Caenorhabditis elegans: one gene and its partners. The protein of the gene in region 2 purifies or fractionates together with the protein of the main gene of each other region. This does not show direct contact. Each region holds a gene or a part of one and is shown on either strand. Other genes may lie near its edges.

Region 1 (4,168 bases), on a different chromosome or scaffold from region 2:
GAAAATCTTCGAAATTTTCCCCATTTTCCCCGTACATCAGCGTGTTTTCCATCGCAAATTGGTCGAGTTCCAGTCTGTTTGCAGTCACACATTGGATAAATTCCAGTTTTTTCAACTTGAAAACTGACGGGGCGAACGTTGGTTAATCCGGGCGTTTTGTGGGTTCCGTCGCAGAATGGCTGCAAAAAATTTTTGGATTTTTCAGGAATTTTCCGGTTTTTTAAGGCATTTTTCAGTGTTAAAATCGTCGTCGAATTTCACACGCCTAGCACCCTTTTTCTGGGTCTCTAGATTTAAATTTGAATTTCGAGGGGTACGGTAGTCCCAAAAGTACGCAAACACCGAGTGCCTTGCGTACTTGGCACCGAACTTTACGACAATTAGTCTAAATTGACTGAAAATCGGGTTAGGGGGGGAAAATGTGATGGAGAACTCGAATTTTGTACTGAAAATGTGTGAAAATGTGTGAAAATCATTGAAAATTTGGGCATAGCTTCCGCATGTCCGAGTGACAAATGTGCTCTATTGCCAAATTGTTGGCAGAAATACGGTATTTATTCACATTTTCAGCCAATTTAAGACTGAAAATGTGAATAAACACAGTATTTATGCCAGAAATCTGAGAAACGCACAAGTCACAGGGGAATTATCGATTTTTAGAAGATTTTTCGTTTTCAGATTGGTGGCCTAGAAATCCCAAAAGTTAGGCCGCCAATCTATTTTGAGCGAAAAAACCAATTTCTAGGGGTAAAAATGAGTGAAAAACTTAATTTTTAACTGAAAATTTGGGCAAAATCACTAGAAATGTGATTAAAAATATTTAAACGCGAAAAATGACCGGAATTCTAATTTTAGGGCAAAATTCGTTAATTATAGCTGCAATAACCAAATTTTTGAGCAGAAAATCGCAAAAAATCTTTATTTCCAGCGTTTTTCGTAACAAAAATAGACCGTCTGAGCTTTTTCCGGGAAAATTAGGGTAATTTTCGAAAAATGTTGGATTTTTCTAGAATATTGATTAAAATTTGAGCAAAAATGAGCTTTTTTTGTAATTTTTTCACTAGCATTCACGTTTAACAAAATTTTGGGTTTCATCACGACTTTAAAGGCACATAGGCGCCATTTTAAGCCTAAAATAGCTAAATTTTATCAATTTTCCGCGATTTTTTCGGCATTTTAGCTGTTTTTCGACGATTTCCATGAGAAAATGCTCGAAAATAAGCACCTGAGTGATGCTCAACCCGCATGAGCACCAATGATACGTTTTTCCGGCTTCAAGCTTCACACGATTCGACTTTGTGCCTGCTGGCTGCCCTTTGTACGGCAAAACGTCTGCAGAATAGCTTTGAACAACGACGCCACGTGCTTTTCCACGAATCGATGATTGCTGGAAATTTTGAAATTTTTTTCAGTGATTTTTCGCGGAAATTGGTGAAAATCTGGCAAAAATCGGGATTTTTTCGCAGAAAAAAAAATTTCAGCGATTTTGATTGATTTTCCACGACTTTTCCAGCTTTTTCAGTCGAAATTGACAATTTTCCACTAATAACTCACAATCGGCGCGGCTGCCTGAAGCTTTTGGCACGTTCTTCCGAGCATGGCTCAATTCGACCTGAAAATCGAGGTTTTTGAGGTGAAAAATAGGTTTTTAATGGATTTTCGCATACAAATTCATGATTTTTCAATATTTTAAGCGAAAAAATCGTGAAAAACCACGGATTTTCAGAGGAAAATCACTAAAAATGGCTGAAAACAAATTTGCCCGTGGAGCGAGCAAGCGCGCTCCAGTGAGAAACAGTTGGGATTTCTAGGCCGCGGCCACGGGAATTTATATAATTTTTTTCATTTTCCGGCGTTTTTACATGATTTTCCTCGAATTTCTCGCATTTTTCGATATTCCAGGCAATGAAACTCAATTCCAACGTGAAAATCGTCGCAAAAAAGTGCATTTTAGTGCCGTACGAGCCGTGCCACGTTGCAAAATACCACAAATGGATGGAAAACGAGGAGATTCGCCGACTCACCGGCTCTGAACAATTGTCGTTGGATGAGGAATATGAAATGCAGAAAACTTGGCGAAATGATGAGGATAAACTAACGTTTATCGTTCTTGAAATGAATGAAAGTGGAGAAGAAGTAGGGATTTTTCAGGAAAACCCCGTTTTTTTCAAGTTTTTGCCTCCAAAAATTTGAAATTCACGGGCTCAGAACCGTTTTGAATTAAAAATAGACCAAAAAATTGGGAAAATAGCATTATAACCACTCGAAAATCGACTTTTCCGCCAAAAACTACGACACTCCTAGTACGCCACAGCGCGTGTTGTTTAGCGCTGGTCACCCGCGAATTCAAATTTTTGACTTAAAATTGGGGTTTTTTACACTTTTTTGCCGATTTCAATGTGAAAAATCACTAAAAATTCTGTTTTTATCAAAAATTTTTGCATTTTCGAAAAGAAAAGTGTGTTTTTTTCCGATTTTTTTTTTGGAAATTTTCCGAAATTTCAGGTAGATCACATGCTTGGCGATGTGAATTTGTTCATTTCCACGTCACCGTCCACTGAAAACCCTAGCGATGACGTCATCACTGGTGAGGTAGAGGTTATGATAGCGGAGCCACGTGGCAGAGGAAAAGGCATTGGAGAGGAGGCTGTGAGGGTTATTATTGCGTGGGCGTATGAGGTAAAATACTTTTTTTCTTCTAAAAAAAAGTTTTTGTTGGATGTAAAAGTTGAAAAAAAAATTTTGAAAAAAAATTCTGAAACAATTTTTTTTTTCAGAATTTTTTTTGTCAAATTTCTCCTAACTAATTTCTTTTATAAAAATTCGAGTTCTCCTCACTCCCAGCTTCAAAATGACCCCCCATCACGCACTGGTTCCGCGTAGTTTGAAAATTTTAGGTCTCGCCACGCGGGTTACTGTAGCACCGATATCAGCTGTGTCGGTGGGAAAAATGCGCGGAACATAGGCTTGTAGGGGTCAATTTAAAGCTGGTGACGTGGAGAATATGAATTTTAACATGATTTTTGACAGTTTTGAAAATTAAAAAAATTTTAGTTCGAAAAAAAATTGAATTTTTTTTTGTTTTTCAGAAAAATTTTATTCTTCAAAATTTCTCGATTTTGAGCTGAAATTCGAGTTCTCCACACTTTCAGCGTCAAAATGACCCCCATCATGTCCTGGTTCCGCGCAATTTGAAAATTTTGGGTCTCGCCACGCGGGTTACTGTAGCACCGATATCAGCTGTGTCGGTTGTCAAATTGAACGGAATATGGTCGTGTTGGGGGTCATTTTGAAGCTGAAAATGAGGAGAATAAGAATTTTGACATGGTTTTTGACAGTTTTGAAAAATGAGCAAAAAAAATATTTTTTTCGAAAATTTTCAATTTTTCAGAATCTGAAAATCGAGCAATTCTGCGTAAAAATTACCGATGACAACACACCAAGCCTGAGCCTATTCAAGAAGAAACTAGGATTCAAACAAATCGGCTATAGCACTGCTTTCAAGGAATTCACATTTGAATTGCCGAAAAATCGATTGATTTCTGAATTTTCGAGTTTTTTGGAGAAAAATGCAGAAATTAAGGAGTATAAATAATTATTTGTGTACTTTTACATTGAAAATAAATGTTTTTCAAAAAAAAAAAATTTTTTGTAAAAATTTTTTTCACTATATTTTTTACAAAATTCCAAAATTCTGTGTTCAGAAGCTTTTTTTAATGCAAAATATATCAAAAAATTGAGATAAAAGCCTTAAAACCACTCGATAATCCAATTTTCCGCCAAAAACTACGACACTCCGCTAGTACGCCACAGCGCGTGTTGTTTAGCAGCCCGGGAATTCAAATTTTTTACTTACAATTGAGGTTTTATCCCGTTTTTTGCCGATTTTAATGGGGAAAAATCATTAAAAATGCAGTTTTTATCAAATATTTCTAAAAATAACAACAAAAAACATGAAAAATCAACGAAAAATCTCCTAATTTCGATACAAAAAATGCTCATTATCGAGGCAAGAATCCTTGAATTTTCGATTTCTGTAGAGTTGAATGAAATATTTGGCGGCTCGATCAAAATCCCATCTTTCTCCAATACTTTGTTGAATTCTAAAGTCATTTGCAGCGCAAGTTAGGGCCAAAACTTGCTGAATATCATCAATTGGAGCCTGTTT
Region 2 (4,848 bases):
CTTGATTCGTTTTGTCAGAACGTAGTTAAGAAGGTCTTTAGATTGAACATCTAAATAATTCCTCAAATGTAGAACTTGAAGTTCGGATATGAACTGGATTTGTAGTACTTCATTTGAATCCAAAGTAGGACCAAATTCGAACATTCTCTACTACAAGATTTATTTTCTTTCTCTGTTTTCTTTTTATTCATCTTGCCATTCTATTGTATTCTTCCTGTCCACTGGGTTTTTTTAACGATCACCGATCCAGCCCTATCCTTGCCTTTAGTAATCCTCTTAAACCAGACTATCTCGATTTCTCGGACGACCTTTCTTTTCCTTTTTTCCGTTCCGAAAACAGTTTGAAAAATAGAGGAAAAATGCCCATGGGAAGTCGCATCCGTGCAATGCAAACAGTCTTCGCTCTTTTCAAAACTCCTTCCTTTCTTTCTTCTTTTCTCACCAAATGGCACACTTGCTCTTTCCCGGTGTCGATTCATCAATTCGCTATCATCATATTGAGTCACCAAAACCTTCGGAAGATCCCCTTCAAAATCCATGGTTTCCGCAACCGTCACCCTCTCAATCATGTCCTGTTACAGAAAATACTCGCTTGGAGTCCGGCAGAGATCCACGACATATTACTGAAGAATCAATTGAAGAAAACGGAGACGAACGAATCGCTCATTTCGAGTACTACGAAGGAGCAGAAGAATTCCCAATTAAAGTACCACCGGAGCAGACTGCTGCTCTAATCTCACAATCGAAGACTACAAATTCAGCAATGGCAGTTCTTCCTGGCCGCTGTGTGCGAGCCTTTCTTGATTCATTTGCATTAATAATTAGTCTTGCTTTAGTAGTTCTACAGTTTGGATTGATAGATTGGTACTATTTGAATGTCACTGGAGAAAATGTGTGGGCCGCTTGGATTGGACCAGACTTTGTGGTTCTACTGATACTAGGAGTACTTGGAGTATTGGCTATCAAATACAATACAGTTCAAATGGAGGAGTGCTGTTCAATTGGTAAGTTCAAATGTTTGTAAGAGTTTCTTCAGTATTCTAATCTATTTGAACTATTGTATTCAACTAGATTGACACTTTCAAAAAGTTCAAGATCTCTGATAATTAATGAAATATTTCAGACAGTCGGGTTAAATACGCTTGCTTCGCCTGGGGAGCGTACTCCCTTATTCTGATCTCAAAAATTGCCACGTGCTTCCGCATGTTCTACGAGGACATTCCTCCAACGCCGCTTGACAACAATGACAAACTTTTCGACGACTTCCTGTTCAAAGCTGGGCTTTCTCTGTCCGTTTTGATTTTCTTGTTCATCTTCGAGTCACATCACTATACCCCATTGGTTTCTGTTCGTCAAGTGTACATCTCATATCTTGTTGCTGCCATTTGCCTCGATCTTATCGATAATATCTACTTCCTAGACTTGCTTTGGCAAGCATCGGTAAGTCGAACTACAAACTACCTAGTATCTAATTCATTTACTTTTTTTCAGAAGGACAAATGGAATCTAGAACTATGGCTCGAACTGACAATCCTGATTGTTGCCTGTATCAACTTCTTCATGCCAACCTTCGCTCTCGCCAAACTTCGTTACGCTAAAGTTCCACGATTCCTGCTCGTAAGTGAGAAGCTCTGGGCATTCCTCTACGTTCTCATTGTCAATGGGCCTTTCCTCGGACTCCGTATCTACCTGTACATTGTGCTTGAAGTTCAACAACACGGAAAGAAGTTTGATCCATCACTGTTTGCGGTCAAGAATATTGCTATGATCTACATCGCTCTTCGTGAACTTTGGACACGTCTTCAATACTGGAGAATGAAACGACGTGCAGCTTTGAGTAGAAATGAGCTTTCAGCAGCTATTCACAATCATGAAGAAGAAGAGCATGAATAATAATAATAATAGTTGCCTGTCTAATTGAAAATGAGCCACTTTGCTCATTTTCAATATCCTATCCCAATGCTTTCATAAAGTTTACCTCAGTCAGTTAGATGTATATAAGTTTCACTATTTCTTCTTTATTCGCCTATCCTCTTTCTCTGCCACATTTTTTTCTATTGGAAACACCTTGGTCTCAGTTCAAATAAATTTTGATATTTTCTGCAAAACTTACATATTGATGAAAATCGAAAAACTTCGCTGTAATCAACGGAAGCGAATGCACATTCTTCTGCTTTTGATACCAAACTTCTAATTCCAAAAGAGCTCGAACATACTTCTCCAATTCAAGTCGTCGTTCTTCGATAAATTCGAGATCCTTGTTTCCCAGTCGTTTCTTTGGAGGAAGAAATGATTTCTTTCGATCTAGAAATCGATGTACATCGTAAGCGTCAAAATCACTATAACGTCGTTCAACGGTCCAAGTGTAGGTGTCAACTGTGATTTGGATACGATATACCTGAAAATTACTCAATTGCAAAAAGTTTCAATGTACTTTTATGGAACTTGTGGGATTATTTGATTTTAATGAAACTTTTAAATTATAGTTGTTCAAAAATTAGATACCAAACTTAGCTTTATGACAGTTTTCTCATCATTTTTTTCAAATTAAGAAACCATCAAATTTTTTATTTTCGGATTCTAAATCATTCTTATTACCCAGCGAATTTTTGCGATTTTTTTTGGAAAAACGTTTGTTTCTGCAAAATGTTTATCGATGTTTCGTAGTTTTTTTTTTCAATAAAAAACATATACTCAAATATAACAATAGTAAACATGTAAATTTTGACAAATTGAGAGAAGAAAATGGAAAATTCCGCTGAGACGAGTTCGAAATTACGGTATTCATTAAAGACGCACACCTTTTCGAATTTAACAAGATTTGTCGTGTTGAGACCGGGTACAGTAATTTTGACGAAAAAATCGCGAAATTTCGCCTCTGGGTTTTATTTTCATCGTTTTTTTTCTGAATTATAGTGACAACACTTACCGTATACTTTCCTTCATCAATCATTCTAAAATTCAAAATTTTCGCATTGAAATTTGCATCCATTTGAGGTGATACTGCCTGTATATTTAGTAAGGCCATCTGAAAAGATTTTCTGAAATTTCAGGAAAGTTCTTTGACAACATGAAAATAGGAAAAAATGGATTTGACCAGTCCAATAAAATGATAATATCAGAATTAGAAAGTTCGAAAAATGTTTATTGTAAGAACGAACATGAGACCGAAGAAGAATAATTAGGGAGTTTTTTCAGAAAAGAACGGAAGATTCTTTTTAAAGTTTGAACAAAACACAATAAAAATGGAAAGAAAAATTACAGAACGAGGACAGAATGAAAAGGAAAGTGATAAACTAATTGAAAATTTACTCAATAACGTCACCCTTGGCGCCAAGACGGGTTGGATCTTGACTCGGATAATAAATCGATGATGATGATGACGCACCGCTTGATTCTGGAAAATATTTTAATACTAATATTCGTCTTCAAAAAAATAAAACTGACCTCCAGCCTTCACTGGCCGTACATTTGGTACAACAAGACTTCTTGGCGCAGCGAAAGTTGGTGGCGCTGGTGGACGTGGCATTGATCCTGTGAATCTTTGTTGTGATGATGTTGAAGGGGCGAGACCATCTGGCACTGGCACTGAAAATTAAAATATTTAAGAAAATGTACATGGAAGGGAAACATGGGAATGTGGAAATAATGATTGTTGGAAGACTGGCGCCAATCCGCTTTTGAAACATGACACCTAACCTAACTGCCAACAATAGAAAACGAAATAAAGAAACATTTTTCTCTTTAGGATTGGTTGAAAAAATCTTCTTTTAGAAACAATTTTTGGTGTGTGGAAAACGATGCGATTAAAAATTGTTCCCTTGAAGAGAATTCACATCAAAATTTGTCACAACGAGAGGTTTCAAAAAGATTCAGTGCCGACCAGCAATTCTACAAAATATGCCAGTGTAGCATGTTTTCCAAATATTTTTCAAGTAAATTATGTGATCGAATATACATAAATAGAACAATATTTTCTTAATCTCTGAATCAAGGGTGTCGGTTTTTCGATTTTTTTTTCTAAAATCGACCATTTCGTTTTTTTTGTTGATATTTCGAAGAATAGCTTAAAATTTCGGTAACTGTTCTTCTTATTAGAAGAAATTTACATGTTTTCATTAACATAAACAAAATTTGATTTAAAAAAATATATTCTATGGTAAAATTTCTAAGAATTTCTATCGATTTTCGATTTTTAGTAAAATCAAAAAAAATTTCGCTTTTAGTGTTTCGAGTTTCTGAGCAATTTTTTGATGATATTATTGCTGAGAATAGCTTTTATTTTAGTTGAACAATTAAAGAAGTGCTCAAAAATTATTGGAACGTCATTGATTTTCTATATTTATTCAATAAGTTTTAATGAAAAAGATTGGGAGAACATGCCAAACTGGCGCATTTTGATTGCAAATAATCTGTTCAAAATTATGTTTCTATTGTTGAAATTGAAAAGAAACTTACAAATCGGTACTGATGGTACTGGAGTAACATAATTTGAGTTATCTGCTGCTCTCTTGGCCTGTGGTTCTCCCCATCTAATCGTCAATCTTTTTCCTTTGATAAAAGTCTTGTTGAATGATCTTTCAGCTGCACGTTCGGCAGCTTCACGAGTTGTAAACTCAATAAATGCACATCCTTTCTCTGTTAGCACACGAAGACAACGAATATCTCCATATTGATAAAAGAAATCATTCAAATCTTTTTCGGTAACTTGCTGAGCTCCAGACGGACCCAGATTTCCAATGTACAATGTAGTGATAGTAGTGTCTGCAGGTGGAGAAAGAGTCGGAGCAGCAGCTGCACGATTGAGAATCTTCTCAGCGACTGGATCATTCGTTCCGTAATAACGAT
Region 3 (6,964 bases), on a different chromosome or scaffold from region 2:
TCGACGTCTACAAACGACACTGTTTAGCGCAAGAAGCATGCTCTATTGATAAAATGGTTTCAGCGAATTTTAAAAATTTCAGAGAAACTTTAGTTCGACTTTAAAATAGTGCACGGATTAAACAGAAAACCTGAAAAAATAAAACTGTTGAATAGCCTGAATGAAAAAATTTATGATTGCGATAGATAGCCCGGTTTTGAAATAAATAAAAAATCACAGAAGCAAATAACTGCCACCACTAGTACAAGTACACAAGAAAGACGGTTGAATACACTGAATAATATTATGTTTTAAAATTAGTCATCTTCGTCGGAGCTTTCGCTAAGTGCCAATCCATACTTCTCCTCAGAATCTTTGTTTTTATTTCCACTACTTGATATATAGGGAGCCACGTGGCTTTCTTTGTGATTGTAGGTATTTGAAGACGAAGGCGGTGCGGGTTCTCTTTCTGTATATGGTTTGGGCTTTTTCATTTCTTCCAATAATATCTTCTCGCTCTCATCTTCATCATCACTGGAATCGCCATTCGATTTGTCGGAATCAGATGATCCATCAGAATCACTACTCGAATCTGATGTATCTCTCTGCATTTGTTTCTGAATTTTCGCTTTCTCCTCCGGTGAAGATGGTCCAGATCGCTGATTATTAGAAGAAGTTCTCAATCTTTCGATTCCACGTTTCAATGCGAGTTCTGTTCCTTGATCTAGATCTCTCGTCTTTTTTACATTAATATTGCTCGTAATTTTCTCCAAGCGAACTGTGTTGGTCTTTTTGTCGAAGAACAGAAGACATTCTTTCGGTTTTGCTTCTTTTTTCGATCCTTTATATACAGTCATATTGTCTCCTTCGCTTGGTACAGAGACATGTACATCACCGCTGTTCCCAAACGCTATGAAGGTGTCGGCATTGTTTGATACAGAGCTTGGCTTGAAATCGTCTGTAAATTTTAGCTATTTCGATTTTATATTTTTAAATTTCTGATATATTTAATCTTAAAATTGTGCAGTTAACCTACATCTTAGCGTGTGAAATTGCTCTGCCTTAGGGTCACTTTTCCGTCCTTTTACTTCAAATGACTTCCCGAGGGTCAAGGTGTAAGTACCATTCGGAATATCACTTGACTCTGCCATGTGAAACTGAAAAAATGATTATTATTAAATCATATGTGAATATTTTGAATTTTTTAATTTGAAAAAAAAATCGATAATTTTATTATATATTACAATGAAATTCTTCAGAATAGTGCCAATTGTGTGCGCGAGAGTACCATTAGCTGTGGGCGGAGTCTTCGGTTGGCAAGCCTGGCACGCCGTTTTGCAAGTGTGCGGCACAGTGTTGACCTCGGCGCTTTACCATTTTTATGCCGGCTTTCTTTCCTATTTTCATTCAAAACGCTATAATTAGATGAATTTGTACATAAATTATTAAATTATATTCAACTACTGAAAAAGTATCAAAATCATGAAAAAACTTAGTGGGAAAATAGTTTACATTGGATTTTAAACCGTCGACATATCGCATTTATCGATTTTTCAAAAATAAGCGTTTGGAATATTTGCTATTCGTTAAAATTAGCACATCCACCTTTACTCTTAATTCTGCAATTGTATCTTTCCACTATTCCTTTTATTCAGTTTATTTTCTCGCTTCGCATTATCGATTTTAATTTGAATTGGCTTTTTTCAGAACAAAACTCTCATCAGTGGGATCACCATGGAGACGGAAGTGATGAAATCGTTTAATAATGAATTGTCGTCACTATTCGACTCGAAAAACATGAGCAAGAACAAGATTCAGGATATAACAAAGGCTGCGATCAAAGCAAAAAGCCAATATAAGCATGTGGTTTTTTCAGTTGAAAAACTTATCAATAAGGTTAGAATGATTTCGAGAAATCGAAATTTAAATTAAATAATTTATTTATTTTTATTAATGATTTTTCAGTGCAAGCCAGATCAACGTCTAAATGTGCTCTATGTAATCGATTCAATAGTCCGTGCTTCAAAACATCAACTTAAAGAAAAAGACACATTTGGCCCACGGTTTATGAAGCAGTTTGACAAGTTTTTGATGCCGCTGTTAAAGTGTGGACAGAAAGAGAAAATGAGAACAGTTAGAACTCTTAATTTGTGGATGTCCAATAAAGTTTTCAAGGAATCAGAGATTCAACCACTGAGAGAGATGTGCAAGGCTTCTGGATTAAGTAAGTAATTATGGTGGAGAATTCAAAAAAAAAGTTTGATTTTTAGCTATCGATTTCGAGGAAGTTGAGCTCGCCGTGAAGGGAAAACAGGCTGATATGAGCATTTATTCCGGAGTTTACAAGAAAAAGCCAAAAAGGTCTTCATCATCGTCTCAACCGAAATCTCGTACTCCTACAAATCCACATCCGGATGATGGACTTCTCGGTGCTGGACCATCATCTGCTCTGAGATCTGTCCCAGATATTCCGAACTTTGTGCTTTCTGAAGATTACTTCCTTGGAACTATTTCTGAGAGAGAAATGTTGGAATTGGTTCAGAAGTTCGGCATAGATCGCAGTGGAGTTTTAAGTAAGGACAAGAATCTTCTCCAGAGAGCACTTCAAATATTCGCTGGATCCTTGAGTCAAAAAGTAGAAGAAGTTCTAGCGGAGAATAATCGGATTAATGGAAGTAGTATACAGAATGTGTTAACAAAAGATTTTGAATACTCGGATGATGAAGAAGAGAAGGAAAAGGAACCACAACCAGAGAAACAGAAAAATCTGCCACATGCTCAAGTCCTGTTGTGAGTTTTTGATGCATTTTATTTTTTTCTTAATTCCAGAATGTTTCTAATTTTTTTTTCAAATTCTAGATTGGCTCAAAGTTTGCTTACTCAACCTCAAATACTCGCAAAACTCGCTGAAGTCTTGATACCTCAAGGAAATCCATTTGGTCTTCCGTTCCCAGGCGAACATATTGTTCCAACATCGTCAGCAGCTTTAACATTGGGAGCTCCACCACCAAATCTGATGGCTCTTCAACAATCTCTGCCGCCAGGTTTTCCAAATCAACAGCTCGGACTTCCAAATCTCTCAGGCCTCAACCAAGCCCAACTGATGAATGTTCAAAATGCTCAGAATATGCTCCAACTGCAACAACGTGCTGCTCAACTTCAAGCTCTACAAGGAAATCCAAATGCTCAGCGAAATCTTCTTATGCTTGGAAATCCATTGCTTAATCCATTTGCTCTTCAACATGGTGTTAATCCAATGTTAAATGACCTCCAAGCCGCCGCAGCAGCTCAACAGCAAGCAATGTTGAATGAAGCCGCACAGAGTCCAGAGAAAAAAATATTGGAATTAAGTGGTGGAAATAGTGGAATTAACAATAGTGGAGATGTGGAACGAGCTCGATTAAGGGAAAAAGAGAAGGAAAGAGAGAGCAAAGAGAGAAGAAGAATGGGATTGCCACCTGTTAGAATTGGATTTACTATTAGTATGTTTTACAACAACGAGTTGCGATTTTGTATGATTTTACAAGAAGAGCTAAAAAACTTCCAAAAAAAAGGGATTTTTGGATGATTTCAATTTTGATTTTAAAAATAATAAAATCATTCGAAGTCTTTTTCGTATAAAAAATTGGTGCTCCTTGTAAAAATCATACAAAATCACTATGAAATAATTCCTGAAATATTGTATCGAAACAATATCTTAACAAATTTATTGAAATTCAAACAAATTAATATTTTCTTCAATTTACAGTCGCCTCACGTACACTTTGGCTCAAGAAAATCCCCACAAATATAGTTGAAAACGATTTGAAGCAAGCCGTCGAATCATGTGGAGAAGCATCTCGTGTTAAAGTTATCGGAAATCGTGCATGCGCCTACATCACAATGGAAAATCGAAGATCTGCGAACGATGTTGTTTCAAAAATGCGTGAAGTTTCGGTCGCCAAGAAAATGGTCAAAGTTTACTGGGCAAGAAGTCCTGGGATGGATTCAGATCAATTTTCTGATTTATGGGATTCTAATCGTGGAGTCTTGGAAATCCCATATGAAAAACTTCCGCTGGATTTAGTGGCACTTTGTGAAGGAGCTATGTTGGATATTGAATCTCTACCAATTGAAAAGAAATTGCTTTATAAAGAAACCGGCGAAACAGTGATTTCTATACCACCACCAAATATTCAACCTCCAGTCCCACATCCACCTCCAATGGGTTTCCCATTCCAACATCAACTCACACAATTACCCGGTCAACCAAGACCTGCAGGTCTTCCTCCAGGTGTTCCACCGATGGTAATTTATCTCTTTAATAATGATTTTTGTAGACTTTTATATCTTACCAAATTAATTTCAGTTCAATCTCAATGCTCCACCACCACCCGGAATTCCAGGATATCCACCGGCTCCACCACCGCCAGGAGTTGGTCCTCCACCACCACAGGGTATTCCACCAATGGGATTCGATCCAAATAAGCCACCACCACCAATGGTAAGAAGTTATTAAAGGATGACTTCTGAGTTTTTGGATTGTAAAGACTCGAAATTTGCCCAAATGAACGAGTTTCGGTGGTTCAAAATTTCGAAAAAATGAAAAAATTTATGCTAAAAGAAAACAGAAAACTCGGCCACCCATTTAAAATAAAAAAGAAAAATTTTCATTCGAAAATCGCCACCACAGAACGATATAAACCCTTTATAAGATCATTTTCGGCAAGTTTCAGAAAAATCTGGGTGCATGATTTTCCTAGGTCACGTAGTAAAACCCGCTCTATGTTATTTAAAATGTCTATTCTAATCAAAAATTTCAGTTCCAACAAGGATTCAACGCTGGCGCACCACCACCACCATTTGGCCGTGGAGCTGGTCCAATGAGCTCATTCCCACCACCACCACGTGGCGGTATGCATCATATGCCACCACCACCATCATTCCGTGGTGGACGTGGAGGACACGGTGGTCCACCACCACCACATTTTGATAGACGAGGTGGTGGAGGTCCACCATTCCGTCCGGAAAATGGACGTGGACGTCTTTTGGATCAATCTGAAATGTGGAATCGTGAACAACGAGAGATGCGCGGCGGCGGTGGTGCAGGAAGAGATGGAGGAAGAGAACATCGTGATTATGATCGTGATCGTTCTCAAATTGATCGTCGTAGACAAGATGATATGGGAGCTAGGAGACGTTCTCGTTGGGGAGATGATGATCGTCGTGATGATGACCGCCGTGATGATAGACGTGATGATCGTCGTGAATCAAGGTTTGTTAGACTGATCTGTAATTAAAGTGGAGTAGGCATGAAAAAATGCAAATTGTCTCAAATTCAGAAGTACCACAAAAGAAAAACGAAAAAGCTGCGTTAAATTTGAAAAAAAAACAGCGCTTTTGCAACTCCTGCTAACATCCAAAAATTTTCAAATAAGAAACAATTATTGAGTATTTCTGGCCTTTGCTAAAAATTATAAAAATTGGAAAAACCGCACAAAAAAAGCAGAGTTTGCGTCGAAATTGGAAAAAAAGCCGAACTGCGGCATTGTTTTAGGCGGAGTTCAGAGTCAAACGCGCGGTAATTCAAATTAGGAGATTAGCAAGAGTTGTAAAATCGTAAAAATAATATTTTCATGCTTCATGCATTTTTTTTTCATTTCCTTTTTGTAGTTAATTGGCCAGCTTGAGTATTTTGAAGTAAAATTCCCATTGATGGAACTCCACCTTTAATCAATAAAAAATTAATCAAAACAAAGTTACAGACGCCGCTCTCCACGGTCTCCACGTTCCCCGGATCGGCGTACAAGACGTTCTCCAAGCTATGAAAGAGAGGAACCACCAGTCAAAAAAACTAGTGGTAAATTGCAAAAAAAAAAATAGATTGAAATTTCTAATTATTTCAATATTTTCAGTCGAAGAAGAAACCGTATCCTCTACAACCCTTGATGAATTGAAACCATCAGTCGAACCGACTCCAGTTCCAGCACCAATTCCAGCTCCAGCTCCAGAGCTTAAAGCTGCAGAAGAGCCAGTGAAAATTGTTGCAGAACATCATGAAGATCAGACTGATGAGGTGCCGATGGATCTTGAATAAGGAATTATAGAGATATTGAATTGAATACTTAATAATGTTTAAAAGCATTGCATCTACTTGAATTTAAACAATTTTTTTTTTTTAAACTTGTTTTACTCAATTAGTCGAAAACTTCTTCTACTCCATAACCTGTGTATGTAATTGAATCTTCATTTCCATGAATCTCTTGTTCTCCGGGACATATTGTTTAATCCTGATGCTTTCAATTGTTTTTTGACTTTATTGTAAGATTTAATTTTCATGGCCCACTTACCCCTTTCTCGCTCGCCCTAAATTCTTCGTTTTTTATGATCATTTGTCTCCCTTATGTACCCACATTTTCTTTTTCTTTGTTTTTTTCTCTCTATTTTATTAATATGTCTCAATGAACAATATATTATTATATTGTTGAGATATCACAAATGACCAGCTCCAGTGGTTTGTCGTCAATGATGCATCTTATCAGTTGAATAATGTAAACGGCCTGTTACACAGAAGTAATAAAAAGTCGCAGGCTCCGGGTTCAAAGTCAACCGTGTCTGTGAGCCAGCCCGCAACGAAAATATTAGCCTGACTATGTGAAAAACCACATTTTTATGGGCCCCCACGCTGGTTTCATGTGTTCAAATAGTTTGACAAGTACTTTGAAGTTATGATAAGGAATTTGGAAAATGTCAACAACTGGGTTATCAGTAAATTATTCCTATTTTTGAAACTTTTTTTCTAAAAATATTTAAAAAAAAACCCAGACGCGAAATGTTGCGATTTTTCTCCAAATATACGGTACCTGGTCTCGACACGACAAAAAATGCCTTTAAATGGGTACTGTACTCTCGAACTTTCTTTTTCTGCAGACTTTACATGGGTTTTTTAATAGTTTTCTTTTCAGATTAAAAAAATTATTATTCAATTGATAAAAAAACTGGTTAA

What was found. Proteins that work in one complex are often made in the same cells at the same time.
Region 1: the proteins of nish-1 (region 2) and Y67D2.5 fractionate together in Caenorhabditis elegans (co-fractionation; one large-scale study listed by BioGRID). This does not show direct contact.
Region 3: the proteins of nish-1 (region 2) and nrd-1 fractionate together in Caenorhabditis elegans (co-fractionation; one large-scale study listed by BioGRID). This does not show direct contact.

Annotation. Positions count from the first base shown.
Region 1 is NC_003281.10:1,537,937-1,542,104, reverse strand, and holds Y67D2.5 (N-acetyltransferase 9-like protein), read left to right. Parts: upstream 1-1,860; 5' UTR 1,861-1,905; coding exon 1,906-2,136; intron 2,137-2,505; coding exon 2,506-2,679; intron 2,680-3,391; coding exon 3,392-3,595; 3' UTR 3,596-3,634; downstream 3,635-4,168. Other genes in the region: cisd-3.2 (Iron-binding zinc finger CDGSH type domain-containing protein), read right to left, coding at 36-179, 1,226-1,387, 1,555-1,599; mtg-1 (CP-type G domain-containing protein), read right to left, coding at 3,977-4,168.
Region 2 is NC_003282.8:10,862,511-10,867,358, reverse strand, and holds the start of nish-1 (PX domain-containing protein), read right to left. Parts: upstream 3,029-4,848; coding exon 2,930-3,028; intron 2,399-2,929; coding exon 2,114-2,398; intron 2,102-2,113; exon of another isoform or gene 1,894-2,101; coding exon of another isoform or gene 1,492-1,893; intron 1,441-1,491; coding exon of another isoform or gene 1,124-1,440; intron 1,005-1,123; coding exon of another isoform or gene 582-1,004; intron 1-581. Other genes in the region: F13E9.11 (uncharacterized protein), read left to right, coding at 582-1,004, 1,124-1,440, 1,492-1,893; rbm-22 (Pre-mRNA-splicing factor RBM22), read right to left, coding at 3,309-3,397, 3,448-3,588, 4,459-4,848.
Region 3 is NC_003279.8:4,597,389-4,604,352, reverse strand, and holds nrd-1 (CID domain-containing protein), read left to right. Parts: upstream 1-1,686; 5' UTR 1,687-1,713; coding exon 1,714-1,875; intron 1,876-1,944; coding exon 1,945-2,203; intron 2,204-2,249; coding exon 2,250-2,769; intron 2,770-2,838; coding exon 2,839-3,461; intron 3,462-3,727; coding exon 3,728-4,266; intron 4,267-4,327; coding exon 4,328-4,462; intron 4,463-4,781; coding exon 4,782-5,233; intron 5,234-5,723; coding exon 5,724-5,818; intron 5,819-5,873; coding exon 5,874-6,055; 3' UTR 6,056-6,430; downstream 6,431-6,964. Other genes in the region: eaf-1 (Ell-associated factor Eaf), read right to left, coding at 297-937, 1,016-1,130.